Linked DNA regions of Notamacropus eugenii. The protein of the gene in region 2 interacts with the protein of the main gene of each other region in a pairwise test. Links are inferred from orthologs where the notes say so. Each region holds a gene or a part of one and is shown on either strand. Other genes may lie near its edges.

Region 1 (10,199 bases), about 250 Mb from region 2:
AGAGCAGTTTCCAACAGCACCAACACCTAACAAGGTAAAAAGACAAACTTTACTAACTGAACACTCTAAAATTAAAAAAAAACCTAACCAATCAGGTGGTAAAGACAGCCACCATGACATATATTTGTTAACTGAGCAAGAAAACTTTAAGCAACAGCTAGTTTCACAGCAATAACAGAACCAATAAAGCAACATTAACGCAGTAAGTGAAGATGCAGTTACTACATGACTTGGAGGAAATGGAGGGGAGAGGGTTAAGGGAAGTGGGGAAATAGGTGTAAGTACTGGGGACTTTTTAACACAACAGAACAGAAACATGAGGAAGACTGTTATCATTACACGTCATGCTGGCAGGCAGATTCACTTAAACGTACGATAGTGAGTCGTACCACTACCAATGCAACAACATTCACCTCACCTAGATCAATACAAAATGACAGCAAGCATGCACAAATCCTAACACCATGAGCGCTGACCAATGCTAACGGATGGAGAGGATGGCTAAATTCAGCAGATTTTCAACACCTAACAACACTTTAAACTTATTAGAACTAGAACAAGAAATATCTAAATTAGCAATTACAACTGTGACTGAAACGAAACTAAAAGGCCAAAAGCAAAGCAATGTAATAATGATCTAAGTGCAGCACTACAAGTAGCAAAAGACACAAACAACAAATCCATGGGGATCAGACAACATGACACTAGAAACACCAGGATACTTACCATGGGAAACCAACCAACTAAAGCAACTTCACAGTTTTAACCAAGGTACAGGAACAACTAACCCAACATCAAGATTAGATGTAGACAGAGCAGAAGCACCATTTCTAACTATAGAAAACACAACACCCACTGAAATGATAACAGGAGATCACTTTCCTACTGCAAAGTACTACTTTAAACCAACTAGACTAACAAAAATTTGGCAATTAGTTAGGAGAGTACACAAATAAAACCTAAATACACAGAAGGACAGAGTAGAAATGCAACAAAAATTGGGATAGACAGTGGGAGGCACAACAGAAAACTACTGCAGCAAAGCTTATGGGCAGAGAGAATTTACATTTGGCTTTAAATTTCCAGAATATTCTTTTGTGACAAGCAGAAGTGGTCCAGCTATATCACTCAACACCAGAGGGAACAGAAAATGCCTCTGAATCAGCTGATTCAAATTATCAGCAAATAATAACTATGAGTCATAACCATAGATCAAAAACAGATCTTGCTAGATACATAATAAATCATCCTTTGATGAAAAACCCAGGAGAACGGTACAAGATAGAGTAAATGACACATCACCAGCAACAGAAGAAACACTACTATGTACTAGTAAATACATACATTAGTAAATACATACACACATGGACACGGATATACGACCCAGGACCCATATATCCAAATGCAAGTATATGGGATAAGCAACCATAAATCACATACAAACCAACACTAAGAACCGCACCATACTTATGTGAAAACAATTCACCAGGGCAAATATTCATAAAACTGACACCAAACTGGACAGATAAATAGAACAGTAGAACAGTAACATGCTAAGTCAGTAATGAAACAGAGACTAAGAACACCAAAATATTGGAACTCACACCCATTTTGTCAACCAAAAGCTGACACTACAAACTTCTGGAAATATTTCCCAGGGAAAATTGGAAAATTCTTTATACCTGTTATGAATGGAAGAAAAGTGCCAAAAATAATGTAGTAAAATGTGAGGTGACTTCTAATCAGTTAATACTGTGTATTAAAATAAAAATACTTACGGGAAATGACAGTTAAAATGTTAAAACAAAATAGTCTCTCTATTTTCTACTGAAAACCAATACTATGAAAATGCTTTGAATTAAGGGAGTGGGGGTGGGGAATTCCAATGCATTCTCCCTCTTCTTCTCACTCATTAACCAATTCAGTTTCCTTGGGACTAAATAATCTTTATCACTTCAAGCTCTTAAAAAAAGTATGATTCTATAAAATTTTACATTGCACCTAAACAGAGAAATTTTACCCCCAAAAGTCAATGAAAAATTACACTGATTCTGAAACTTGGGATAGCACAAATTAAATGTTAATGTAATGTATTAAATGCTTACAACATTAGTCAAATTTACTCATTTTAAAGGTTTTATACTCCTAATAACTAAAAATTAAAGTTATTTCAAGCAAATTGCAGCTATTTAAGTTATAGATCTTGAAAACCTTATTGAAGAAAGATGCCCAACTTTTTCAATTCAACAAGTATTTATTCACCAACAAAGGCTAGCTAACTTATCATCTCAAACTAACAGTGATAAGAGAGTGTATCATTTTATTCTCCTGAAATTCAAAATAAGTCATACTTTTCAGAATAAATCCCAATCCTCCTAAGGGCAAAGGTTCAAATGCCAGTTTTTTTAATTGTTACCTGTAACCTGGCCACTTTACCTCCCTGGGGCCTCAGGTACTTCACCAGTAAAATGAGGGTACTGTGCTAAAATATGTATAAGATTTACTCTGATTCCAAATGCTTTGACCGCATAATTTTATAACAAACTATTAACTTGTAAATTTCAATGAAAAAAATGAAACTGCATCATATTTATTTTTTTGCCTAAAACATCTTGAAAGTCACTTTCCAAAGCACTGGAAACTGAAATAACGTTCCCCACCCTCATTTACTTCCATTTAATGGTGCACAAATTATGGGGAACACGATAGATGTAATGCAATTTATTTAGAGAGTAATCAGGAAAGGATTTTCTGGCAATAAACAGAGTGGGGGCTCCACTTCCCCCAGTAAGCTTCCGTATCCTATCTAAATGCCAAAATACCCGGATCAGGAGTCTGACAGAAATCAATACTACCGTTCATTCATACTTAGAGTCACTGTTACATAACTCGCTTGGCATACTTGTTTGTATGTACTCTCCCACGTTAGACAGTAAGCTCCTTGAAGGCAGGGGCTATCTACTGCCTCTTTTGGGGCTGGCACAGTCATAAATGTTAGATAATGTTTAATAACTTAGACTCTGATTAATCAGAAATCGTCCTCGAGGATGCTCCAAAATGACAAGACAACAGGAGATGACGGCGTCACCTTGGGAGCAGTTTCGCGGCTGCCCGTGTACAAAACAGTCTGACCTTGACGGCAGGGGGCCCGCCCCAACAGGCACAGGCCCGCACAGGTGCCACCCGGCGTCGGTTGGCACATTCGCTCGCCAGCTCGGTACAGCGAACGTGGCTCGCTCACAACGGGAAAGGAGGGTCAGAGGTCTTCTGGGAAGGTACCAGGGGATATCCCTGCCCGCCCCGTGCCAGCCCGCCCCGCGCCAGCCCCGGCCCCGGGCAAGGCCGCCCACGGCCGGCGGGCCCCGGGGGCCCACTCACCTCAGCAGCGCCAGGAAGGCGGCGGGCTCCACGTCGGGCAGCTCGATCTCGGCCGAGGTGGTGGCCATGCCGCCGTTGAACATCGCGTCGAAGACGGCGCTGCCGGCGGCCAGCACGAAGCGGTGGGCGGGGATGCGCTGCGGGCCCCCGGCGGCGGCGGCCCCCGCGCCCCCGCGCCCCTTGCCCAGCACGAAGCGCACGTCGCTCAGCAGCTCCGTGTTGAAGAGGAAAGCGAAGCGCTCCTTGAGCGACGCCTTGGTGGCCTGCCAGTTGTACAGCGGCTCCCGCTGCAGGGGCACCGGCACCGCCGGGCCCTGAGGCGACAGCGGCGGCGGCGGGGGGGGCGGCGGGGGCGGCGGCGGCGCCAGAGGCGGCTGCGAGGAGGCCCCGGCGCCCTTCTCGGCCTCCGGGCCCAGGAGCGAGTCCCCCGGAGCTGGGACCCCGATTCCGGCCATGCCCTAACCGCCGCTAAACCCTCCGGACTGCGCTCCGCGCGACGGCTCAGCAGGCGGTCCGGGCCCCGGCTGCCATGTCCCGCTCCGGCCCGGTCGGGCCCAGTCCCGGGCCCAGGCCGCTGCTGCGAGGAGCCTGCCTCTCGCAGCCGGTTCCGTTGCGTTTGCTTCCGAACCTTCCGGGAGAGCGCTACTTCCGGCCGCTACCCACGGGAGGGGGGAGGGGCGCCCACGCACGCGCCCCCGAGGCCGACCGGAGGAGGGGCGGGGGAGGGGCAAGGAGCCGGGCGGCGCGCGCCCCTAAGGCACCGCTAGGGGATGCCCGCGGGCGCCCCCAAGCTGCCCAGGAGCCGCGGCTGCGCAGAAGCCTCGAACTGCGGCGCGCTGGTCCCTGCACGTCGCCCCGCCCCCTGGCGGAAGGCGCCCCTCCCACCGAAGGTATCCCCTGCCCAAGCCCGCTTGGGAGGCCGGGTGGAAAAGCGAGCGCCAGTGGGCACCCCGGCCTCAACAGATCCGGACCGTGCTGCGTCGGCCACGCTGGTGACGCAGGAGGAATGGGCCCTGGGGGTGTCCGGCCCCGACCCGGCCTCATCCCCCCAGAGAGCGGCCCCCATTCCCACGGGCCGCGCCGCCCCTGCCTGCCGCCCGAGCCTGGTTCCGAGGATCAAAGCTGGAGCGGCCGAGCCCCCCATCTGTGCTCACCTCCCTGAGGCGTGAGGCTCGGCCGAGCTGAGGATGCGAGCGCTTTGTCAGCCTTGCAAAGCCGCGTGCGCGGTCCGTTCTTTATTAGGAGGGCTGACCACTAGCCGACTTCAAGCCATCCCCGGGTGACCGGGGATTATCCCCGCAGGGAGTCCTCTCATGCTAAGAAGAAGATGAATCTGTAACGGGGGCCTTTTAGAGCTCTCTGCGAACATTCTGAGTCAGAAACTGCCCCCCCCCCCCACGCTCGGCTGTGTGACCTTGAGCAAGTCACTCAACCTCCTCGAGACTCCTAGGCAACGGAATGATCATATTTACGCACCTTCACACCGGATTGTTCCTTTGATCTGCTGAAACCATTCCCTCCTCATCAACGATCTTTCCTGACTGCATCCCCTAGCCTTTTCTTATCAGTTCTCAGTGTCCTTAACCATCCTCACTGTTAGAAGTTCAAAGCCTTCTTGCCATAACTCATTACTTTTCAGCAAACTCTGCCCGTCCCCCAAAATCCTGTTCCTGTGTCCTGGGTGCTTGGAATCCCTCTTTCCCCAGTCATCTTTTCCTGTCCTTTAAAGCACCTTCTCCCTGAAACCTCCACCACTCCATGTAGCATTTGTACGTACTGTGATAGTGTATTATAAATGCCGTGATATGTAGGTTATCTTCCTATTTGCTGTATGTTCCAAGAAGACTGAGAATCTGTCTTCTGCAGTTCTTAGAACCAACGTCAGCATACAGTAGGTATAAATCTGTTGAACTGAATTAACTTCCCTTTGGTTAATGCTCTTTTCCTTTGATTTCCAAGACATTGCTACCTCCTGGTCTCCTTCCTTTTCGCTCCTTTGTTGGTTGACTTTTTTCCCTCTTCCAGGATATGGGTGTCCCCCAATGATCAGTTTTGACAACTTTCTTGTCTATATATATTCTTCTTCATAAACTCACCCTTGTTCAGAGGGTGACTTACAACTACCTCTATACAGATGACTTTTGAGATATATATGTGTGTATGCATACATGTTATACATCATACATATTATACATACATGTATATGTATATATTATAAATCAGGCTAATATCTGGAAATAGATATAGATCTACTGAAAAAGGAGAAGGGAACTTACCAAATGTGTGTGTGTATAAAGATATCTATGGTCTATATAGATATCTACATATAAACACATGTATGTATGTGCATGTGTATATAGATATCTAGGGTATATATATACATATATTTACATTATGAAAATGGAGAATGGAGCTTACAGAATACACACACACATATATACATATACTCTGGCCTCTAAAAAGTAACAAGCACCAAATTAAAACTCATCAGCATTCCCCCCAAAATCCGTTCCCTCCCTCGATTTGCCTATTTCTGTTGATAGTACTTTTCCTCTCCCCACTCCTCACATCCAATCAATTGCCAAACGTAATCCAAAATGTATGAATTATATTTCAAAAATATCCATTCACATAATCACTATTCTAATTCAGGCCCTCATTACTTCTTATAAGAATGACTATAATAGCCTCCAAATTGGTCTTTCTCTCCTTCTGCTCCCTCCTAGTTTCAATCCAATCTTCACAAAGCTGCCAAAATAATATTCTTAATGCAGAAATCTGACCATGGCACTCATATTCTCAAACAAAAAAAAACAAAAAAAAACCTTCAGTAGCTTCTCATTGCCAGTATAAAATGTAAATCATTTAGCCTATCATCTGAGACCCTCCATAATCTGTCTCTAACCTACCTTTCTAGCTTTGTTTCACATTATTCCTTTTCACAAACTCTGTGTTCTAGTCAACTAGTCCACAAGCCTCTCCCCAAGGTGCTGATTGGCCAAGTAGAAAGAAACACATGGATGTTCATACCACTGAGCTGGGAGTAACCAACTACAATCCTTGTAGGAAGATGAAAAGACCACCATCTACCCTGCCACTTTGTCCTAAAGTTCACTGAACCTTACAATCTGTCCTGCTTTTGAGTACCCTCAAAAGCCCTACACACTGTCATCTTACCAGCTGGAGCAATCTTAGGACTTTTGCCTCCTCCCTGAATCTGTGATTCTTGCATCCATTGTCTCCTCTGCTTAGAACATGAACTCCTTGAGGAAAAAAAAAACTGCCTTTTTTTTTCATATTTACATCCCCAGCACTTAGTACAAGACTTAGAAAGCAATAAATTCTTATTTTTTTCATTTATTCACTCATTCATTCATTTCATCATCCTGAACTTTCTCAATTCCACGCAGTCCTCCAAGCCTGGAAGGTAATCCTTTTATGTGGCTTTGCCCAGTTTAAACCTGGAACCTTATCTTACCTTTCCAGTCTTCTACTTTACTCCCCTTCACACACTCTTCCATCCAGCAACACTGGCCATCTTGATGTTCCTTTAGACTTTTTCACTGGCTGATCCCCATGCCTAGAATAGTTTCTTTCCTCATCTCTACCTCCTGGCTTTCCAGGCTTCTTTCAAGTCTCAGCTCAAATTCCACTTTCTACAGGAAGCCTTTCACCTCCTCATGTTCCATACCATCCCTCCCCCCACCTCCAAACTCTTGGTGTCTTCCCTCAGAGATGAACTTCTATTTACACACTCTCTCTCTCTCTCTCTACATATATATATCTATATATAGCTATTTTCATATTGTTTCTTCCCCGCCCCCCCCATTAGAATGTGAACTCCTTGAGAGCAAGGACTGGATTTTTGTCTTTTTTTGAATTCCCAGCTCTTATCATGGTGCCTGGCACATAGTGAATGTTTCATAAATGCCTGTTGGCTAATGAACTTCTCCATGAAATTTCCTGATTCCCCCTAGCAGAAAACGACCTCTCCCCTCCTTCAAATTTCTCTTATTTTTTGTCTAGATCAGTGGAGTCAAACTCAAATAGAAATGAGGGGAGGGGAACCCTGATCTGTTCAGAAAGATTCCTGTGGGCTGCCTATTGTCTTTCATTTTAAGTAATATTATCTATGTTTTATTTTACCTTTATTTATTTAGTTAAATGTTTCCCAATTATATTTTAATCCATTACTATGTGTTTGACTCCTCTGGTCTAGACTTCTTCTTCCCTCTCTTTCCTCCCTCCTTATGTTCTACTTTGAATTATGGTTATTTTACTACAGGCATTATCCATGCTAAGAATATTAGTTCATTGACAGTAAGGACCATGTTGCTTTTCAGATTTCTGTCCAGCTCCTAATAGTGCCTTGCACATAGTATATGCTAAATTGTTTGTTGAATTGAATCTTTTATTTCGTCCTGATGTATTCTACTTATTCAGACTTTCACCCCTCTGTGACTTTTTGTCCCGTAAGATTCTTCATGCATGTTTTCCAATAAATCTTGCAGATTTTCCCATCACACTGGGGCTTCTCTATTTACTCTTACTATCTTGGGATGTCAGTGTATATTTCTGGCTGTCCATTTGATGTAAGCTTGCCTATCCCTGCAAACAACAGTTCACAAAGTTTGATGTAAGTGTGAGCCATTATTATCACCCAGGCTTCTCAAATAACATCAAGTCAATCTGTCCTATGAGTAAGATCTGGCCTTCATGAGGAAGCACGTTAAGAGGCAGAAAATAAAACTTGTATGTTCAGTCATGCAAGTAAATAGTTTGTTCCAATTTAGATTCAAAATGCTTGTGGTAGAATTGTCTGTTTAAAAAACCCAAGCCACTCTCAGAAAACCAGTCTATCCATGTGCTTCCCTTTGCCTTGATTTCTATATTTCTTTGACTTTCCTGGCACTTCAACTCTCCCGGTTCTACTTCTCTAGCAACTTCTCTGTCTCCTTTGCTAAACTCCCACATTTCAATAAACACCTACTGTAGGTACTGGAGATGAAGAGACAAAAAGGAAACAATCCCTTAGTATCTCATCGTGAACAAAATTCTTGAGAAACAGCCTAGAGAAAAAGCCCTGAAATTGGAGTCAGGAGACCATAGTTTTGCTCTGAGCTATGCTAGCAATTAGCCATGGAATTTTGGACAAATCACTTCTCTCAGTTTCCTTACCTGTGAAACAGGGGTTGGACTAGATTCATGAATTTTTTTCCTCTAAATATTTAGATATTTCAATACTATTAGTTTCCTTTGTAACCTTAGGTACTTTATTTCATGTATTGAAAAACATAATTTTGAGAAAGGGTCTTTAAGCTTCACCAGACTGCCAAAGAGGTCTATGACACAAACAATTTTAAGAAGCCCTAGACTATGTGAATAATTATTTAAATTCTAATAAGAATCTAAAATAAAAATGCTAATAATAATCAATACTAAAGTAATTTTATAGCCAAAACAACATTGACATTATTCTTTAAGATTTACAAAGCACTGTAGATCTAAGTGCTAATCTAAGTAATCTAATCTTTAGATCTAAGTGCTAGTGTCCTTTGAGCAAACACTGAACCAGAAAACCACATGCTTAGCTGAAAAATGTGGCTCCTTTTGCCCCCTTGTGAATTTTTGCATCATGTGTTGCAGCAAAAGAAACCTGTCATTATCCCAGATGTAATTTATTTGTCATACATTCTTCGTTGGCATGTCATGCTATTTGGAAACCAGCCTGTAGAAACAATATATGTCACCCTGTGTACTAGTTTTATAATTAGAACAGATGTGAGGTCAAATCAGAACAGGATATTTAAGCAAAGAAAATTTAGAGAAAAGTCAGGAAATTTCAAATGATGGAGAGAAACAAGTGGGCAGAGAGGTGTTTGGGGTAATCTTTTGACATGACAAGGAGGAGATCTTGAATGAAAATTTAAAAGACATTTTTCAACTCTTAGGACTTGCATATTTCAGAGAGTGCAGAGAGGTTCAGCTGCTATTAGATAGCCCTCTATGTGAAAGGATGAATAATTGTAGTTAAAAATAGAAACTAAGGTCATGAAGCTAAAGAAAAGAAGGAACTACATGCTCACAGGCCTAGAGCAGACTGAGAAGCAAGTAAAAGATTATCCTTCCTTCCTAAAGGGGCTAATTGTGTATTTTCTCTTCATTTTTTTAAATTTCATTTTGAGTTCTGAGTTGTCTCCCTCCATTCTTCCTAGTCTAGAGGTAAAGAAGACCAGCATTTTTATATGCACATATGTATATATATATATATATATATACATATGTATGTATGTATGTGTATGTATATGAGTGTGTGTGTGTGTGTGTATGTGTATGGACCCATATACTATGTACTTCCATATATCAGTTCTTTCTCTGAAGGTGGATGGTATTTTCCTTCCTAAGACTGTCACAGTTGATTTGAATGTTCATATTACTCAGAATAGCTTAGTCATTCACAGTTACCCTTTGAACAATATTGTTGTTACTGAATACAGCGTTGCCTTGGGTCTGTTCATTCTCATTCTCATTCTGTGTTATTTCATGCAAATCTTTCTGTATTTCTCTAAGACTTAACCAGCTCATTATTTCTTACAGTGCAGTAATATTCCATCACAATCACATGCCATCGTTTGTTTACCCATTCCCCAGTCGATGGGAATCCCCTCAGTTTCCAGTTGTTTGCTGCTTTAAATATTTTATAACATATTTCTTTTCCTTTTTCCCTGATCATTTTGGGAAATAGACCTCATAGTGGTATTTATTGCTGGGTCGAAGGGTATACACAGTTTTATAACTCTTTGGACAGAATTCCAAATTGT
Region 2 (10,661 bases):
TCTTTCTTTAAAGTAGAGCGTGCAGACTCCTAACAACTTCCCAGTACCTAAAGGACCAACAGAAGTCTTCTGGGAGTAGAAATGGAAATGACACTGTTACGTGAAACCTAATAGCGGTTCTCAAACTTTTTACTCTCAGGCCCTCTTTACATTCTTAAAAACTGAAGACCTCTCTGCAAAGAGCTTTTGTTCATGTGAGCTGTATCTATCAATATTCACCATATTTAAAATTGAAACATCTTAGTATTATTATGAAAATAGTTTTGACCTCACAGACCCATTGAAAACATCTCAGGAATCACTAGGGGTTCCCAGAACACACTAAGAACTACAGCCTAAGGAGATGCAAATGCCAGGTCCCACCTTACCTTAAAAACATGGAAAAAGAATTTAGAAACTAGGGGAAAAGTGGACTCACAGAGCAGAAGGCTGTACCCAGCAGCCTATCCGCCATTAGCACAGAAATAAAAGTAACTATTGGCATCAAGTACAATTTGTATTTAATTCATTCCATCCAAATCTAATCTATTAAGCTACCTGGGATCAACACCACAGGATGTCCAATCATGAATAAATAGCATTACCTACAATAAATATGATGTCAAAATATTTTACTTTGCTATATGACAGCGAATCTAAATATCAGTGATCAGCTGGAGGGTGGGGGTGGAGTAGTGTGACACTTCTAGGTCCCCTGGTGGTCAGCAACTATTCAGCTCAACATGTCCATCACACCCATTTTGACAAAAAGAATACAATGGTCAATATGTAGACGCTTCCCCAGCTTTTAGGAAGTCTAGGTAGGTAGGAGAGAGTACCGGAAAGACGTTCTAATACCTTAAGCACCTGAAGTCTTATTTTACAGTAAACTTCATAAAAGAACAATAGTGCTTTCCATAACTAACAGATTCTTTTCTAAGCAAAAATAGGCCAGAGAATAAAATATGTGAGTTCCAAAATCAACATGAACCATAACAACAAACCTAAAATACAAGCAGTTTATGATGGGATGGAATCTATTTTTATACCTGATAAGGTGAAGAGGGGAAAGGAAGGGGGTAATCCAAGTTATATGTATAAACTTGCACTGCCTAATTTGTAAATAGGGCTAAGTCCACTTCTAATAAAGATCAACTTAAACAAACTTGTTTAATTCAAAGACCAGGATTAAAACAATTACGTTCATGTAATTGGACTTTGATGTTTCCCTTAGGAAAAAAAACAATGTAGTGTAGAACTCTCACAGGTGGTCAGATAACTCTCCTAGCTACCTAGGTAACACAGAAGCAGGTTGCTAACGCTACTGTCCTTCCTTTGGACTATGCTGGCAAAGAGAACATATCCTAAATTGAAGGCTTGGAATTCGGGTGAATTTGGGAACCAAAACCAAAAAGGATCCTCTACTAGAGAAGAAGCAGACATGAGGAAACACACAAAAATGTGACGTCACCAAGTCTTCCCCTGCACCCTTTTCTAAACCTCTTCAAGTATTCTTATCACTCTTGACAGAGCAACTAAATGTATATGTCGTCTTCATGAACAAAATCTGTTTACAGTGAGATAGAGCCTGGCCTTTGCAATCATAGTAGCAAAGACTATGCAGACTTGAATTAGAAATTGCTAGGAGTACAATCACCATATGCAGCCCACAATTTACCTCAGAAAAACAGACCATTTCCCAAGTGCAGTCTAGGTATAATCTTTGGAGCTACTTAAATATTGGTGGGAGAAGGAGCCTTAAACTATTCTGAAAACTTTGTTCTAAATACCAGATACATGCTTACTCCCCTAACTTCTTAGCCCTAAGGACTTTTCTCTACACTAGAAGAACCTTAAGGATTCCAAAAGAGGAGAAAGATGAGAATTTCCATAAGTCCTGTTCCCATCCAGATTTCTCTATTATCACACCCCAATTAAAAATTAAAAAAGGGACAACTTAAAATTTTGCTTTTGGTTATTGTTTTCTGTGAAGCTAGTCTCCCTTTTCAGACTGCTCTTCCCTTTAGCCCTTAAAGGTCTGGCTTAAATGGACAGTAAGGAAATTCTTAGTTCTCTTATAATTCTCTCCCAGTAGGGAACAGTCTTCTACTCAATGCCCCATTTCACTGCTGCATAAGACTGTTTCAAACTAAGCAGGCCAACATGATGGACTACTTAGTGCAAGATCCAAAAACTCAGCAGTAGTCTTTTACCACTGAAGTGGCTAAACCCTGGCTAAACTGAGCAGGATTTTATACTTATTGAAGACAGGTATAGTGCCAAGGCTAATCAATGGAAACTGACAAAACGCTATATAGTGCACATCTTTCACCATTTGACTTTCCTCTTTATAAAGCATGCAAAAATGAACCATTTTTTTATTGGAAAGGGAAAATTCCCTCGTACATGGAACTGGTAGAACGAATACACTAATGCATTAACTTTTTAGAAAAGGGTTAGAAAGCAACTAACGTAAAGAGAAAGCAAGATAGCCCTCAGCTCCTGAAAGTCTGTGGTTCTTATTTAGTCCCAAAGAAAAAGAAATGGATAAACAGGCCTACAAATGCTTAAGGCTGAGGCAAAAGTATTTGCCACATCTGCCAACAGACAACCAAAATCCTCTTTCTCTCTCCCACAATTCTAGACAGGTCCTGGAGCACCTCTCATCATTTTGAGGCTGGACTTTAAAATACTTTTCAAAGCAAGTCTTTCTAGGTGCCTTAATCCACAAAGACAAGCTCTACCCACACGTGCTAATTGTCTGTAAGTAGTTACTAGAATAAAACAATTTCTAAGCTTGCTTATCCCAATTCCCAGGGCAAGCAACTTACAAACTTTTTGGAAGGGGGCTATATTATTAGAACACGTTTTCTTCTCCCTCTTTGTTCAGAGCTCTCAAAAAATGATGCTCCACAGATGATGTATTTAGTTTTAGATTTATGATCACATCTCTATGCAAGGTAAAAAGGTAATATAGATCTTATAGAAAAGACAAAGCAACAGTTGCAAAACTGACCTTTCATTTTAGAGGGTGGAATAGAAAGAAACCAGATGCAGAAGGAGAATGAACAAAAATAATCTAAGCTTCTTAAAAAAAGAAAGGAAGAAAAAAAATCAAACTCTCCCCCCTCTGTCTCCTTTCTGGTAAGGACAGTGATTTATAGGGCTTTTCTCTGCAGAAAGCTCCTCCTGGGCAGCTCTAGGAAGGAGCCGAGGGAGGGAGAGAAAGAGACACAGACACAGAAAGAAGAGGAGAGAGAAAAAGAAAATGGCGCAGAGACTAAGTCCTGACTGTCGACAAGGCGACTTTCCAGGGGGGAATCCGGGCCCGGAAAGGCTCCCAGGCGCCGGCTCGGCGGGGATCGGGGGCCTGGGCGGCCCCCTCTAGGGCGGGCCGGGGTCCCCGGGGGGCCAGAGCCCCGCAAAGGGGCGGTAGGGGCGGCTCGATGGGAACAATGGGGCCGGTGAGCGAGGAGCCGGGACTTAGTCTCTGGGACGCCATGTCTGTCCTTTCCCATCCGCAGCCGGGGAGAGCCGGGCGGCGCGGGCGGGCCTCTCCCCACCCCCCGGGGCAGGGGGCCCGGCTCGGGCCCGGGGCGCACACTCACCATTCACTCGGAAATCCGCATCGATCTGTGGGGAGGGAAAGGAGAGGAAATCAAGCCACCAATAAATAAGACACACGGGGTCGGGGGGGGGGGGGTAGAGGGACGAGACTCTGGCGGGGGAGGGGAGCACAAGGGGCTTGGACCCCCCCCCCCAGGGGGGAGCGGAAAGCCGGGCAGGGTGGGGAGGGGGCTCGCCCTTTCAAACTTTAACTTCCCGGCATTTCCAGCCCGCCGCCTCCAGGGCGCCCCCCCTCCTGCTCCTGCCAGCGCGGATCCCCCAAAGCCAGAACCCCCTCCCCCCTAACACACACTCCTCAGACCCTCCACATCCCGGGGTGGAGGGGGGGGAACCTGTCATCTCCTCGGCTGCCAAACGTCAAAGATGGAAGGGGAGGACAAGCGGAGAGACAGAGTCCGGGGGAGGCAGGCCCGGCTCTGGGGGAAGGGGGAAGTGGGAAGCCGGCTCTAAGAGGAGCCGGGCCCGGGGGCGCCAGGAAGTCGGGCCCCGGGGCGGGGGCGGAGGAGCCGGGGCAGCAGGGCCTGGGGATTCGGGGCATCGGAGTGCAGCCGGGCCTGGGGATCGGGGAGATCCGAAGGCCGGCTTACCTGGGAGTCGTTGTGCAGTTGATCCCCGCTCATGTCGGACGTAGCCGCGGCACCGGCGGGAGTGGGAAGGGGGCGGGGGAGAGGAGGCACAGACCGCTCGGACCCCGGCCTTGGGCAAAGAGATCAGGCCCCGGAGCAAAGGCGACGGCGGCGGCAGCGGCGGGAGTGTGAGGCCGAGGAATCAGCGACAGCAGCGGGAATGGCGGCGTCGGCGTCGGCGGCAGCGGCGGCAGCAGCGGCAGCAGACACTGGGGAGGGAATGAAGCTCCGAGGAGTTGTGTAACAGACTAAGTTCGCATTTCTTCCCACTGCGCCTGCGCGGCCGCTTTTAAACAGGACCCGGCGAGAGGGAGGGGGGGAGGTGGTGAAACAGGAAGGGAGGGGGGAGCGCGGTAGGAGGGAGGAAGAAGAAGAAAACCAGCAGCCTTTAGGGAAACTGGCTTGGCTCTAAGAGAACCCGCCTCTCGCTACTCAAGTGGCTGGCTCTGATTTGCATCTCAAGCCACGCCCCACGTTGAGACAGCCCCAACCACCCCACCCAGCGCGGAGCTTCATTTGCATAAGGAACTCCTCCTTCTCCCGCTCACCCAGTGTCCTGGCTCGTCTCCTTCTCCAGCCCTCCTCCCCCACCTCCCCAACCCTGTTCTCGGAACTGGAGCCCGCCGGCAGTATAGGGCTAGGAATTGAAGGGGTTCCTCACGGCGTTCGCAACCCCCGGCTCCGCGCACTGCGCAGGCGCCTCTGGCCACTCTGGGGCCTCTGGAGTTGCTGGGCGCCGGCAACGTGGTTGGGTTTTAAAGACGGGCAGCCTTAAGCAACCGTAGGCACCAGTGGTGGAGCTTTTGAGCCGGCCTGAATTTTAAGCGTTAAATTTGCAGTTGACTCCTAACACCCACCCGATACCCGAGTCCGGGCAGTGATACCCTCCCTCGTTAAGCATCCTCTGCTGTAAAATGAGAGGTTTGGGCTCGGGCTCTCTAAAGCCCCTTCCACATCATCCTGTCATCCCCGGTACTCACTGCCTGGGCATCCCCGTGGGACTGGAAGGAAGCACAGTCCAGATCTCTTATTTTACAGATGAGAAAATCCAGGCTCGACCGCGGACTTGTCCAAGGTCACATAGCCCGCCGCTGGTCAAAGCTGGGACTCCAGGCGCAGGTCTCCCCTTCTGCACTGCCTAGCCCCTAAAAATGTTAGGAAGGCAGCTTCACGGCGTCAGTTTAGGCAGGAGCTCTCCAGCTTTCAGCTCCTGGGGTCCTCGGTACCCCATCAGTTCGTTGCTCATTGATTTGTTTCCCCTCTGTCTAGAAGAGTGGCAGGGGAAAGGGAGATGCCCACACGTGGCCTGGTGACCTTGGCCAACCTATACAGTAGTAATAGGATGCCCAGCCTTTGTAAGGACTTAACTGCTTAAACACACAGACGCCTCTTTTCAGTAGAAAAGTAATGGATGGTAGGTTCAGAACGAGGAATGGAGGAATGTGTGTAGTCGGGCGGCGTATGTATTTTGTTTCACTATGCTTTGTTACAGTGGAGGTTGTATTCCAAGTGTGGGGGGAGAGAGAAAAGGAGTATTGGGAAGCTATAGTAATGGGGGGAAAAATCAACGAAATTGCCCACTTTCTAGTAGAAATATCTCCAGGACTGGGAGGTAGGAAGGCAGAAGCCCTCTATGGCTGCTGAGTCATTTCAGCCGTGTCCGACTCCTTATGGCCCCAGCTGAGGTTTTCTTGGTAAAGATTTTATACATGAAGAACTGGGACAAACAGGGTTAAGTTACTTGTCCAGGATAACCCAGCTACTCATTGTCTGAGGCCAGATTGGAACTCAGGAAGATACTTCCCGACTCCAGGCCGGTATTCTATCCACTGTGCCATCTAGCTGCCCATTTTTAAATAGTATTAAAGTGTAAATCGTATTTAAGAGTACTGTTTGTTATATGGGATAGCTGTCTGGAAAGGGGGAGAGGGAGAGATACTGAAGGAAGCTACGGTAATGTAAAAGATAGACTGTCAACCGTTTTTTAAAAGCTATAATATGAAGTAGGGTGATAAATGTTCTGATGGTCACCAGATTCGTTTTTCAATTGATTATTGTCAAAATAAATGCTTTTTTGTTTGTGGTTTTTTTTGTTTTTTTACAAATGGCAAGAGCCTGTTTTAATTGGATTTCTTTCTATGTAAGTATTTTCCTATTTCAGTGAGTGTTCCACAGACCTGAAAGGGCAAAATGACAGTATTTGAACAAGAATTGGCAAATATCCAACCTTAACAAGGAAAAGCCAAATCTGAAAGCAGGCTGAGCTTTGACCATGGCAATATTGAGCCCAGGGGGCCACTGAAGAAGGAATGAATGAACTAAGGAATGAAAAAGCATTTGTTGAGTTTACTATGTGCTAAACTCTGGGGATACAAATTCGAAAGGAAAGACAACCCCTAACCTCATGGAGCTTACATTTCCAATAAGGGAAGACAACACATATAGGGGGCAAGTGGCTAGAAGAGAACTTTGACCCAGAAAGTTACAGGGATAGTGAGTAGGTCTGTAGAGAAATAGCCTGACATACTCCTTCCAGGAACAAAGGTAGAGTTGATTTGATCATGGTTGCAGAACTGGAGAGGAAAGTAAGTGGGGGAGATCATACTTATGAGGCATGACCTAGTAGCCAGTTACAGTGGGCTGGTGAAAGTAGTTGCCAGTAGGGACAAGAGTGCCCCAAGGCAGTAGATCTGTAATTGAAATTACATGGGGCATGACCTCAGGAGGCAAGGCTATTGGTGAGGCTAGTGAGCTGACCCAGGAATAGGAAAATGCTGAGTACAGAGGGTACCTTCCAGCCTATGTGCCTTTCCTCACATTATTTGATATCCCTGGACTGTCCTCTCGCACTATTGAACTCCTGTTCATCCTTTAAACACCAACTCAAATTCAACCTTCTCCGGGAAGGTTTTCCTGAGTCCCTGATCAGTAAATTACTATCTTTCTCAGACCTCATATAATACTTTATTTTTACCTCTCTAATATTCTCATTATGAATCATAGTTTATTACATGTATGAATTTGTATCTTAACCCCTTACCAGAATTCTAAACTATATGAAGGCAATTACCTTGTCTTCTCTGGATTTTGTCTCTCCTCTCCTTCCCCCACCCCAGCACCTAACTCAGTGTTCTACACAGAAGTGCTTAATAAATGTTTGCTGAAATGAATGAATGAATATGGATGGGGTCTCTTTTGCTAAATCTCTTCATGTATTACTATATCCACAGGGCAGAAAACTAATATTTTTTTACTTGCTTAGTAGATTAAGGAAGAATTGTAAATATGTATTTACAATTAAAATATTTCCACACTCAATCACATCTCATTTCCCCTCAGGGATAGCAGTGATGCTGGCTGGCAGCCTGGTGGAATGGAAAGTATATTGGAACAGGAGCCAGAAGAAAAGGGTTCTAGTACCAACCTTGCTAATTAGCTGTGTGACATAGGGCAAATCAGTTTACCTTTCTGAGACTTAGCTTCTTCATCTGTAAAATGGAATTAATAATCATAGACCTACCAAAGCCATGGATTTATTGTAGCAACATTCTGCTTCCTTATTGTAAGATTCCAACAAGAGCATGGTTGAAAATAGATTTTGTAACTGAAAAAGGCTGATGTTAGATTTTTTGTGAACTACAAACTCAAATTCTCCTCTTCTTTAGAGCCCTGCATAAGAGGGTTTTTTTTGTCTTTGGTTTTTTCCTCTCCCAGTAGTAATATTGTAAGTTTCTACTTGTTACATTTTATATCATATTTGAGAGATTATAATGACTATTTTTTCTGGCTTCAAACTCCCTTCTTTGATTCACAAAATATTAGACTTGGAAGTTTCCTTATGTATCTCCTAGTCCATTTTCCCCTCTTTTTACAGATGAAAAAACTGAGGCTTACAAAGGGGAAGCAACTCATGTTTGTGTGCACTTCACAGCTATAGAGAGCCAGAGCCACGTCTTTTGACTTCCAATTCAGTGCACTTTGCACTATATTGTCTTTTCTTTTTAATAATTTATTTATTTTTAGTTTTCAACATTCACTTCCATAAGATTTTAGGTTTTAAATTTTCTCCCCTTCCCTCTTCTCCCCCCTCCTCAAGATGGCGGGCTATCTGAAATAGGCTCTACTTATACATTAATATTAAACATATTTTCACTTTAGTCATGATGTAAAGAAAAATTAGAACTAATGGAAGGAACCAGGAGAAAGAAGAAACAAAATAAAACGACAAAAGAAAAGGAGAGCAAATAGCATGCTTCCATCTGTGTTCAGACTCCAAAATTCTTTTCTGGATGTGGATAGCATTTTCCATTGCGAGGCTTTTGGAATTGTCTTAGCTCCTTGTTTTGCTGAGAAGAGCTAATATACTATCATTTCCACCTTATTCTTATCTCAGGTTCTGTGCTATACCCTTCCTTTGGTATCCCATTTTCCACTACAATGCTATTAATACCAACGCACATTTCTATATCAATTCAAGGTTTTCCTTCTGACATACGCTGACTGGATGATGCTAGACAAGGCTATAGGTTACAGATAGGGAGCCTGCATTTCCAATACAGAAACTCTCTATTCGAATGAAACCCTAGGTCCAATTAGTAGTCCTGGCCCTTCAAGGTTTACAAAACGCTTTCCTCACAACCACTTTTTGTTATTAGGTTGTACTTCAATGTATTTGTAATCATACTGCGTAATCACCAAACTCCTTTGCTCAAAAATCTCAAATGGCTCTCTGGTGTTTCAAAACATATGAATACAAATTTTTCTGTTGTTAAGCATTTAATGCGCTTTATAATATGACTCCTGCTTACCTTTCCAGGCTTATTGTACATTATTCCCTTTCATACAATTAATGGGTCAGCCAAACCGATTTCCTCCTTCGTGACATTATATCTCCCATTTTCCATCTTGCATTGACCGTCACCATGTCTGGTATATATTCCTTCCTCATTGATGCCTCTTAGAATCCCTAGCTTCTGTCAAAGCTCAGCTAAGCACCAGCTCTGTAGAGGAGGTCTTCCCTGACCCCTTCAGCTGTTAGTGCATTTCCATCCAGCTCCAGCTCCCGCTCCTCAAATTACCTTGTATTAACTTTGAGCTTTGAATTTCTTTATAGGGCTGCATATTATTTGTCCTGATAGAATGTAAACTCCTTGAGAACAGAGACTGTCTTATGTTTTGCCTTTGTATCCTTAGCACCTAATACCTGGTACATAATTTATATATAATATAAATATATTTATATTATAAGTAAATATATATTTATATTACATATAAATATATTTATTAAAATATATAATATAAATTATACATATGTAAATAATATAATTTATATATAATAAATGCTTATTAAAATGAACTCCCTCTAAAATGATATGGCTTGAAGCCCTGCTACATATTCTCACCTCCTGTGACTCTTGTCCAAATCCTCCCTTAAACCTTCTATAGGGGACCTACCCAACCTGAGAGAGGTCTTCTTCTAGCTATTTTATTTTTAATTTTTTAAAATTCTAGAAAATTTAAGCACTCTCTAAAATGGATCATTTCCATATACATAGCAGAACACTGACCAGTGCTGGATTTGAGCTGTCCCTCTGTCATCTCTCATTACATGATCCGCTGACTTTTCCAGTCATTCAAGTAGTATAGTTTTAATACCTGTTATGATAATTAGCTCATTTAGAGCTGAGAGAGCTATAATTGGTCCATTCATTTCTCCTGACTTCAGAGAGGTTTTTTAAGATAAAAAGTTCTGAGCTCAGTCACAATACCTTGGTGCTCCCCAATTAGGAAAGATTGCTAAAATCTAGGCAGAAGTTGAGTTCTCTGCTAAACCTAAAAAATATACTAAACTTATAAGTATCTCTAGGTAATAGATGGCTTCTTTGTAGTTGAAGCAAAATTCAGATTATTGGAGGTATTTGGGTAAAGAGATGGTAGATTGAATTATAGTGTGGGGGGATAGACCAGCACTGGGAAGGAAAGTTGCACAAAGAGAAAAACTTTTCTTGGGCCTTCCATCAGCTTGGCTTCTCTTTTCTGCTTCTCTTCTGCTTAATATCTCTCTTATCTGCCAGAACACAGAACCCCTTTTCCTCTAAGCCTGCTCCAACCTCTTAAATCTCAACCCTCAGAAAATCTTCTTTCCTAATTCTAAGATAGCTTAAGACAGTCTGTCACATACTGGCTTCCATTCAAAAGGGAGAACACGACTTCTTTGCATTCAATTGATTGTTGGATTCAATTTAAAAAAATGTTTGCTCCTAGTCAGGACATCTGAGCAACATGGGATGATTTCTACTCCACCTTTACGCAAGTATCATTATTACCATTTTAAAAGTGAGGAAACTGAGTCTCAAAGAAGTTAACTGGCTTGGTCAATAGCACATAGCTAGAAAATGACAAGATTAGAAGTAAAATGCAGTTGTTCTG
Region 3 (10,683 bases), on a different chromosome or scaffold from region 2:
TAATGGCAGTCAAGATCAGAATCCAGGTTTGCTGACTCACAGTACTAACATTCTTTCTGCTATTCCAAGATGCCTCTAAATGCAGCTGAAATAGTATTCATTATTTCTTTGGTGAATGAAACAATAAAGAATGAACAGAGCCAGAAGGCAGTACTAAAATCACTGCCTAGACAGCAGTTCTTGGCCCTGTGCATCCACAACCTATAGTTATCATACTTTGCTTTTTGGCAGTTATTAACACAGATCTCCTGCACTTTGAATAGCTATACTGTACTCCTGGTACATTGCTGGCAACTTCACATTCCACTCTGAACACCTCACCCTATCCCCTCCAACTCAGAAAGTAATCGATGTGAAGCTTCTCCAGGCTTCCATCCTGTAAGATTCCCCCTTGAGGAAGCCTTGGTTTCAAACACAGGAGGGTTTAATTGGCCTCCATTATCATTAACAGTTACAATTTGCCTTCTCAACTTCATTGACACCATCAACCCCTTTCTTGAAAAAATAACCAGGTTAATGGATAAAAATTCCATTTCAAAGGCCCATCTGCTACTCTATACTGGATCTATGGATGAAGTTGTAGAAATCTCAGTTCAAGATAACCACACCTCTAGAGTCCTGGGGAAGAAGAGGCAGCATCATGTAGCAGAAAAAGTACCAATTTGGGGACTGGGGTCTCTGGAGGCCACACCTGCCTCATGAGGATCAAGGAGCTGGCTTGTTCTCCTTCTGTCTCTAAATCCAGATCTCTTCCCATTAAGCTGTGCATGAGGCCTCACTCCTGAAAGTCCTTTGTCTATTAACACACAAACAGAAAGGTATCTGAGGCCCAAAAGAAGGTGCATAATTTCAAGAAATAATAAAATATTGCTTATCAGGAATGACAAGAAAGAATCTGGCTTAAAGTCCAACATACAAACATACCTGTACAATGATCCCCAAGGAGATAAAAACCATTTGGCAGAAGGCAAGAAGGCTACAGAAAGGTACACAGGTAAAGGGGAAAAGGAGTACTTGAGTTGAAAGCACAACAGAAAGTTCTAGCTGTGCATGGTTGGTCAGGGAGGGCACAGCAATCTTCTGAGGGGAGAACTAAAGACTATTAAATTGCAAATATACCAATCAGGCAATATTAATTGATCACAGGATTTAAGCTGAAAGGGACCTGTACACACAAGGTTCATTTTCTACTGCTTAATGCCTTCTTTTTTCCCTACTAAGCCATAATATTTCTGACTTCTTCCCCTTCAGGCCTCACTGGTTACATGTAAACCCTGAGGGGCAGGGGCCAGGGATGCCACAAATTTCTTTGTATATTCTCCAAGGTGCCAAACATTTATGAATTTATGAAATCTATTGAACTAAAAATGTCTCACCTCTAAAAGTCTTCCCTATCCATCCCAAGCTTAGTAAATAGAAGGTGTTTGTTTAATTACGTCACCCTTCTCCTCATTTCAGTAATCAAATGATTTGCCCAAAGTCACACAGCTATTAAGTACCAAGTACTAATTTAAGCTTGAGTCTTCTGACTCCAAATTCAGATCCAATGAGATATTATCTGTAAAGTCCTTAGTACAGTGCCTAGAACAAAGTCAGTAATTTTACAATGTCTTTTTCCTTCCTGCCCTAATCCAAGTTATTACACAAGAGACTGTGCTAGTTGCCATTTTCATGGGCCACTGACCTTATACAATCTGATTGGGGTAAGAGACTGTCTTATATGAAAATAATTACACAAAGGAATAAATTGTGAGTCTCAAATGAATAGCATAAATTTCAGAGGGGGGACCCATTGCTAGGGGGCAGATGGCCAAGAAACGCCTTCCAGAAAAGGTAAAGTGTTTGCAGTTCAACTGAGTATTCATGCTTGACACCATACAAAAGTAGTATGGTATAGTCTCTGCCTTCAAGACGTTTTAAATGCAGGTGTGTACAGTAAGGACTGTAATTACAAGACGGTAGGAATGACAGGGAAGCTGTCTTAAATATCTACTATCCTATACAATAACCAAATAACCAAGAGATATTTACTATCTACCTACCTAAAGGGTAGATGTAGTTGGAAGAGAGGAAACTGATGTGGAAACATTAGTGGGTAAGGGAAGAGAAGGGAGTTAAAGGAGGGAAGCTAGAATTTGCCCACTGTTTCCTTTGTTCTTTTTGAGAGGTTGTTTAGGAATTAAGGGTTCAAGGTAAAATCAAATCACAGGGCCCTTTAGAGAGCATTTGGTCTAACGCAATCAGTTTACAAACAGAAAAACTGAAGTCCAGAGAGGAGAAATAACTGGGAGGCGGGGGGTGGGTGTTAAGGGAGAAACCAGGACTAACAGAAAGCATCCCAATTCTACAAGGGGGCAATAAGAAAAGAGAAGGTAGGAACCCTGTGGGTAAACTGGGAGCCTCAGAGACAAAGACACAACTTTCCCCCTAGGAGGGCATGACAGACCTGCTCTGAAGTCAGTGGGGGGGGAAAGGGACCCACACGTGAAGAACAGGGCAAGGGAGGACAATGGGAAAGGGGAGGATTTAGAAGCTGACACCCTTAAAATAGGAAGGTATATTCTAAGAAAGGGCTAGGTTGGAGGGGGGCGTTAAGAAATCAGGGAAAATGGAAATCAGAGGAAGGGAGTTCAGGAGCAACTGAGAATAACAGATCTGTAAAAGGGAACCAGAGGTACCTGGGGAAGGGGAGTATAGAGGGTTTGATCTAAAGGGAAGAAAGAGATCTATGATCAAGGACCACAGAGAGGTTTATCTGCAGAAAGTGGCAAAGGGCAATCATCGGGGAGGGGCCTGGTTTGTGAGCCTGAAGAGAGGAAAGGGCAACAGGAGGGCTAGGAATAGTGCCAGGGAGGGGGGCTGCCTCTGGAGCTGTCTGAGGACTGCCCCTTTTTCCCTGCAGGGTTGTGGTGAGGGGTACCACAGTGGGGGAGTTTCAGAGGAGGGGCCATCATCATCATCATGCTCATCACTGGAGGCTCCCTCTGTGGCTCTCTCAGGACTGCCCTGCCCAGCTTTTTCCCTGCAGGGGAACATTGGGTTTGGGGGGGGAGGGGAAAGAGTACAGTAGCTGGGAGCTCCTAACGAACAGACATCATCATTGCCCTCATCCTGGAAGCTCCCTTGGTTGCTCTTGGAGGACTGCCTGGCTTTTTCCCTGCAGGGTGGTTAGGGTGGGGAAGCTCTGGGGGTGGGTGGGGGAGGTGTTCTGATAAGAGGACTTCTTCGTTACCGTCCTAACTGGCCATACCTCTGTGGCTCTCTGGGGACTCTAGCTTTCTCCTTTCATAGGAGCTGGGGGGTTTCCGATGAGTGGCCATCACCATTCTCTTATCTTGGGGTGGTGCTGCTCTGAGGAGCTGCCTACCTTTTTTTCTGTCAGGGGAGCTGGGACTGGGGTGGAAGGATAGAATAGAGCGAGGAGTTTCAGATGGGGATCATCTCAATACACCTCCTGTCTAAGGAAGTCCTCCTTGATTCTCCAAGGCCGCCCAGCCCATTTTTTTTCAAAGGGGCTGAAGGCACAAGTGGGGGGAAAGATGGAAGCCATCCCCACCCTCCCCCAGTCTGCGGGTACCCTCTTTGGCTGTCCAGGGCTGCCCAGATCTTTCTTTTCAAAGAGGCTGGGGGAAAAATGGGGGGAGGGCGAGTGTTGGATGGGGGTTATCCTCATCCTCCCCGAATGGGGGTGGAGGGTTTGGATGGAGGCTATCCCCATCCTCAGCCAATCTGGGGGAGCGCTGCCGGCACTCCCGGGGCTGCCCGGCTTTCTTCTCAGAGGGATTGGGGTACAATGGGAAAAGGGATTCAGAAGGGGGCCTACCCACATTGGGGGAGGGGTTCAGAAGGGGCCGTGCCCATCCTTGGAGGGGAGATTCGGGAGGAGCCCATGCCCATCCTGGAGGAGGGAAGGCTAGGGGTGGCCGTGCCCATACTGGGGGGGAAGGTTGGGGGGGCCGTGCCCATCTTGGGGGGAGGCTCGGGAGGGGCCCGTGCCCATCCTGGGGGGAGGCTCGGGAGGGGCCCGTGCCCATCTTGGGGGAAGGTTGGGGGGGCCGTGCCCATCTTGGGGGGAGGCTCGGGAGGGGCCCGTGCCCATCTTGGGGGGAGGTTCGGGAGGGGTCCGTGCCCATCTTGGGGGGAGGCTCGGGAGGGGTCCGTGCCCATCCTGGGGGGAGGCTCGGGAGGGGTCCGTGCCCATCCTGGGGGGAGGTTCGAGAGGGGCCCATGCCCATCCTGGAGGAGTGAGGTTCGGGAGGGGCCCGTGCCCATCCTGGGGGGAGGCTCGGGAGGGGTCCGTGCCCATACTGGGGGGGAGGCTCGGGAGGGGCCCGTGCCCATCCTGGAGGAGTGAGGTTCGGGAGGGGCCCGTGCCCATCCTGGGGGGAGGTTCGGGAGGGGCCCATGCCCATCCTGGAGGAGTGAGGTTCGGGAGGGGCCCGTGCCCATCCTGGGGGGAGATTCAGGAGGGGCCCATGCCCGTCCTCGGGGCCCATCGGCCCCCCGCCCGGGGCGCCCTCCCGCCCGGGGGTCTCACCTGTGCGCGGGGATGCGCTGCGAGCTCATGCCCTTGCCCACCAGGAAGTGCACGTCGCTGAGCACCTCGTTATTGAAGAGGAAGGCGAAGCGCTCCTTCACCGTGGGCTTGGTGGCCTGCCAGTTGTAGACGGGCTCGCGGTGCAGCACCAGCCCCGCCGCCCCCACTGCCCCGGGCGGGGCCGCCGCGGGGGCCGGGCCCGGGCCGGGGGCCGCCGCCACAGCCGAGCCGGCCCCGCCGCCGCCGCCGCTCCCCGCGGCCTGGGCGGAGGCGGCCCCGGGCCCGGCGGAGGCGGAGGAGGCCGCGGCGGCGGAGGCGGCCGCCGGGTTTCCGGGGGCCGAGGCCGCGGCCGCCGCCACGGCGCAGTTATTGTAGCTCAGGCCCGGCCCGGGCCCGCCGCCGCCGCCGCCGTTGCTGTTGCTGCAGCCGTTCCCCACCCCCGGCGGGCAGGACGACAGGCCGCCGCCGCTCCCACCGGCCGCCATCTTGGTTGCAAGCTGCTGCGGCAACGGCGGAGGCAGCGGGCGGGCGGCGGCGGAGACGACGGCGGCGGCGGCGGAGGCGGCGGCGCTCGGAGTGTTTACAAATAGAGCCGGGCAGCAGCGGCGCATGGGAGCGCGGGGTGCGCGCGCCCTCCGAGGGGGGGCTGCCGGGGGAGGGAGTGCGGGGCGCGCGCCGCCGCGGGGGGGTGGGGGTGGGGTGACCCTTGGGTGGGGGAGGGGCCTGGGTGTGAGGCCGAGCGGGGCTGGGGGGAGCGACCGAGGGGGCGCGCGGCCCGGGGGAGGGAGCGAGGCCGGAGACTGGCGCACCCTGCGGGGGAGGGGCAGGGGGCGGGGCAAGGGCAGGGGCGGGGCCCCTCGTGGGACCGTTAGGTGAGCCGCATCTCCCCCACCCCCCGGCGGAGCGCTGAAGCCGAGCCCTTCCTCCACTCTCTGGGAGCCCCGCCCCGTGCCTCAGTTTCCCTAGCCGCACAACCGTGGGATCTGGACGAGAAGCTAGCCTTTTAAATTCTGCCCACGCACTTGAGCCACGTGCTCCCAGGGCGATGTCCACGAAACCCTTCCAGTCCAGACCTGGGTCACAGGAGATCGCGAGAGGGAATAGAAAGACATTTTGAGGGCGTTCAGGGGGTTCACGAGGGACCAGGGCGGGCGGGAGGGGGGGAAATGGTTGTTAATTAAGTTAATGAGAAAGGAAAAGGCGGAGAAAAGTGGGGAATTCTTATTGATGGAGTATGCCCCCCCCACATCTCAGCAACACTCTTTCATTTATGTGAGTTCACTTGGGTCTTTAAATAAAGGTTTTTAAATTAGAAAATTATTATTACAAATATGATGTGAATTCACTTGGATCTTTAAATTAACAGGGTTTTTAAAAAAATTATGAAGTTATTATTACAAACAAGTGTGTGGATTCACTTGCATCTTTAAATGAGCAGATTTTTTAAATAAGATTATTACAAGCAAATATGATGTGAATTCACTTGCATCTTTTGGTTTTAGGGGATCTAAATCTGTTGATTTTAAAGGAGGCAGCTCAGACAACAAAAACTGTTCTTAAAGTGACCCCAAAGTCTGCCTAGCCCACGCTGAACCTGTGGACGTATAAGAATTTCTTCAACTTTTGTAGATCAAGAAATTAGAGGTTTTTAAAGCCCCTACTATGTACCAGGCTTTGTGCTAAGCTCTGGAGATACAAAGAGATGCAAAAGACAATCCCTGCCCTCACGGAGTTCACATTGTAATCTGCAGACGCACAAAGAGCTACATAAAAAAGAGAAAACTTCATGTTTTCTCTAAATCTTCAGCCAGGGATTCTAAGAAGCCCAAGTGGAGAGGGACAGCATGGGAGACAAGTCAGTGCAAAGTCACAGAGAAGGGTGTGGAAAGGGGATGGGGAATGGGACTTCTTTTTCTTGCTGTGTAGGTTAGACTTTCATCTCCAGCTATGCCCTTTTTTTGCGTAATCTCCAGCCTTTGGAGAGAAGAGGAGTAGTGGAGAAGGGGCTCTCAGCTCTACCTCCCATCAACCATCTACCTTCCATCTCATACTGCATTTGACTCCAGTCTGTTGGGAAGAGGAGTGGCACCTTCCACTCAGTGATGAACATTCTTACATTTGGTCATACCCTTCACATCTCAGTGATTCTAAATTCCTTCAACTCATCATCCAAACCCTATTCCCTCTACCCCACCCCAATTCCTCATTCCCATTGCCTGCAACTCTCCTACCTCAAAGTTTCAACCAAACGTCACCCAGCTCTAACATAGTGTCCTCTGGAATACCTATTTCACAAACAAACTTCCCTTCATCTTAAATCTTTTCCTTTCCTTTTCTTTCCATCTACCATCATTTGCCAAAATCTGGCTCCCCTCAGATGACATGGACTCCACGACTACTCTCTCTAGTTCTGGCTGATGTGGGGGCTGGAATCCTCCTTGCTCCCAGATGCCATTCACCCTCCATCACTCAGTAACCTCTCTTCCTTTGAGGTTTATCATGTTCGTCTCTATCACTCAATCAAAATTCTGTTATCTATAGACCCCTAGGTCACCCCCCTTCTAACTGAGGAAGTAGAAGGGGAGGATTGGTTGTATGAATGGAGTGAAGGGGATGGCTTATCAATGCTATAAGAGAGAAGGGAATAAGTATTTATGAAATATCTACCGTGTCAGTCACTACGCTAAGTTCAAAACTGGCCTCAGATGCTTGCTGGGTGACCCTGGACAGGTTACTTAACAGGACTGCCTCAGTTTTGAGCTCAGGTCTTTCTGACTCTAAGAACAATATTCTATCCACTATGCCACCTCTATATAGAAAGATAGAGCTTCCCCTACCTACAGAGATCAAGAAGATAAGATTTGATAATTTGCCTGTATATATATAGAATGAGTGGAAGCGAGGACTTGAAGGTGATGCTGAGGTTTTAAACCTGAATGACTCGGAGGATAGTAAGGCCCTTAATAATCTCAGGGAAGTTTGGAAGAGGGGAGAATATGGTGGGAAAGAGGAATTCTGTTTTGGATTAGGTGTATGTGTGTGTGTGTGTGTGTGTGTGTGTGTGTGTGTGTGTGTGTTCATCCTTTGTTGCCGAAGAACACCGTGCCATCAGAGAAATAATGACATCACTTGCACTTGACTTTGTTTTGAGTGAGGGAGGGCTGTGCAGGTCACCAGCCTCACTTCTCCTCCAGAGTCATCTGAATCCAGTGACCAGATATTCATCAGACTAACTGGAGATGACTCAGAATGAAGCAGTTGGGGTTAAGGGACTTGCCCAAGGTCACATAGCTGGTGAGTGTAAAATGTCTGAGGTGAAATTTGAACTAAGGTCCTCCTGACTTCTGCACTGTACCACCAACTGCCCTCTGTTTTGAATAAATTGAGTTGGAGATGCTTAGCGGTCTTGTTGGAAATGTCTCAGGCAATTGGTGGTGCTGGACAGCAGCTCAGGAAAGGGAAAGGGTCTGGATTTATAGACCTGGGAATCCTCAGTGCAGAAACAAGCATTAAACCCAAACCAGCTGATAAGATCACTGAGGGGAAAAGAGTAGAAGAGAGCAGGCCTATAATGAGACCTGGATGATGGAGACCGTGAAGGACTGCATTCAGCCTTTACCTGAAAACTGCCCATTATGGAGAGCTTTCCACCTCCTGAGATAGGCTATTCCTCTTCTGGCTACCTCTAACAGGGGGTGCTTCACATCAAACATAAGTCTTTTGAGGTCACAACTTCCTTCTTCTGTGTCAGATTCTTTCAAACCCTTGAAGATAACTATCATGCTTCACCTAAGCCTTCTCTCCTCCAGGCTAAACATCTTCAGTGCCTTCAACAAATATTGAAATACCTACTTTGTGCAAGACACTGTGCCAAAAGGGGGAGGAATGAGGGGTCACTAAAGACCTTTCTAGCTCTGAAACTTTGCTCAGGGAGGGGATGGGAGCAAAAGATGAAGTTGGAGGGGTAGAGTGTGAGACTCAGAATATATTGACTCTAATAAGTTCGTGGCAGTACAGCTTTGCTCACAGAACCCTTAGCTAGAAGTGCCTTTATGTAACACGAGGACTGACTTCTTCAGTAATATTTACAGAGGAGAAAACTGAGAATTAGAGGGTGAAACTGATTTATTCAAGGTCATAGTGCAAGTCAATGGCAAAGCCAAGATAAAACCCAGGTCCCCTTACTCCCAGGTCCAGAATTCTTTCCATAATACTGAGCCCAGTCTCCTCATTCTCAAGTCATCTCCCACAGGGTAAAGGGATGTTTCAGGAGTTGAGTGCTGAAGAAAAAATACTAGTACTGAACTATGCATTTTAGGCAATTTAAAATTATTCTAAATCTAAGCTATTTCTAGATGAGCAAAGAAACATCCAAATTAGCAGTCTCCTCATGCCCTTGACCTCTCCATACCCCTAGATAATTCGAGGTAACTTTTACAGAACTCTTTAACAAGGAAAATATAATAATATGTTAAAATAAAGTTTGAAGTTGACATTCCAGAACAGTAGTCACTATCCCATTCCTTTTTTGACCACTATTCTCAAGTGTTCTGAAGAAATCAAAGGGGCCTTCTCTTGTGGACGAATGTTATAATCATGAAGAAGAACTGCCCTTAGATGGGCCAAAGTACAATCACCTCAGAGGTTGGGGGGAGACAAGGATCTTAAGGAAAAAAGTAAGTTTCATTTTCTACTCAATTTCCTGAAGATTTGTGGCTTTTGACAAAATCCAACATCCATTTCTATTAAAAAATTATTAAAATCCAAAGCCCGTTTCTAAGTTTTTTTAAAGCATAGGGATAAATGGACTTTTCCTTACTAGAGTAAATAGTATCTATTTAAATCCAAGAATAAACATCAGATATAATTCAAAAAAGTTAGAAGTCTTGAAAGAAGGTCAGAGTTAAAGCAAAGATGTTCATTATTACTGCCACTATTTAAAATAGTGTTAGAAATACTAAGTATAGCAATAAAACAAGAAAAATTAAAGAAATAAACAAAATAGAAGAAACAATTATCAATTTTTATGGATGACATGATTTACTTTAGAATACCCTTGCCTCAGCTCTGCTGTTACTAAATCTACTCTGCTTAGTGTTCAACTCTACTAAATCAAAGAGCTCAAAGAAAGAAAAAAAGGACACATAAGCATAAAAATATAACAACTCTTCATAAAAAGTCAAAATTGGAAACTAAAGGGGTATCTTCCTATTAAGGAATGTCTTAACAAATGATGGCGCATACCATAAGAAATGACAAAAATGGACAGTTACAGAGCAAACTGGGAAGACCTCTGTGAACCAGAGCAGAGTGAAATGAGGACTAGAACAATTTATACAATGTTAACATTATAGATGAAAAGAACTTTGAGAGATATTAGAACTCTTGACTAATGTCATGATAAACTATGAGTCCAGAAGACTGAAGACCTTTTCTCCCAGAGAGATGATGAACTTAAAATATAGAAAGAGATATATATTTTGGTGCATGGCCCCTTGGGGAATTTGTTTCACTGAACTAAACGTATATGATGAAGGTTTTGTTTGGGGAGAGGTTGTTGTCCCATAAAAGGGGAAGGGGGACACTCAGTGAGAGGGACAGATTATAAATTCATATAAGATAATACAATTTAAAAAAAAAAAACTTTTATTCTGAAGTTAAACTACCTAAAGAGACACATCTGGAAAAGGGTTTTTAGACTACAGAAATATTTCTAAAGAAACTGCAAAGGAAGTTTTTAATATGCTTCCACATACGCAAGCCAAATGCTGGAGGCAATCTTGCTCTATGGTCATAGGTAATGATAATAACACCTTGTAATTGTAAATAGCTTTTACTGTCTTATATTGTATTAGTCGTTTCTCCTTATCTAGTCCATGAGCTTCCCAAGGGGAGTAAATATGCAGCAACAAGGATCTTTATGTACAATTTAGTGGACCTATTTCTATTTCAGTTTGGTACCACTGCTTTATATTTTCTGTTTCTTTTTCCTTACTGCCTTCTCATCCCCTGTCAATCTTTATTTCCAACCCCCCCCCACTCTACAGAAAATGTGCTCTCTAAAGTTAACAATGACCTCTCAACTGATAAATGACCTTTTCTTAGTCCTTAGTCTACCTCTCTGCAGTTTTTAATAGCTAACATTT

The links.
Region 1: the proteins of TOP1 (region 2) and BTBD1 interact in a two-hybrid assay, tested with the Homo sapiens proteins (2 studies listed by BioGRID). The link is inferred for Notamacropus eugenii from reciprocal best matches to the Homo sapiens genes TOP1 and BTBD1.
Region 3: the proteins of TOP1 (region 2) and BTBD2 interact in a two-hybrid assay, tested with the Homo sapiens proteins (2 studies listed by BioGRID). The link is inferred for Notamacropus eugenii from reciprocal best matches to the Homo sapiens genes TOP1 and BTBD2.

The regions. Positions count from the first base shown.
Region 1 is NC_092872.1:177,035,329-177,045,527, reverse strand, and holds the start of BTBD1 (BTB/POZ domain-containing protein 1), read right to left. Parts: upstream 3,998-10,199; 5' UTR 3,834-3,997; coding exon 3,379-3,833; intron 1-3,378.
Region 2 is NC_092872.1:424,056,186-424,066,846, forward strand, and holds the start of TOP1 (DNA topoisomerase 1), read right to left. Parts: upstream 4,925-10,661; 5' UTR 4,227-4,924; coding exon 4,194-4,226; intron 3,613-4,193; coding exon 3,588-3,612; intron 1-3,587. UniProt on the Homo sapiens protein: Releases the supercoiling and torsional tension of DNA introduced during the DNA replication and transcription by transiently cleaving and rejoining one strand of the DNA duplex.
Region 3 is NC_092875.1:64,659,393-64,670,075, reverse strand, and holds the start of BTBD2 (BTB/POZ domain-containing protein 2), read right to left. Parts: upstream 5,212-10,683; 5' UTR 5,149-5,211; coding exon 4,538-5,148; intron 1-4,537.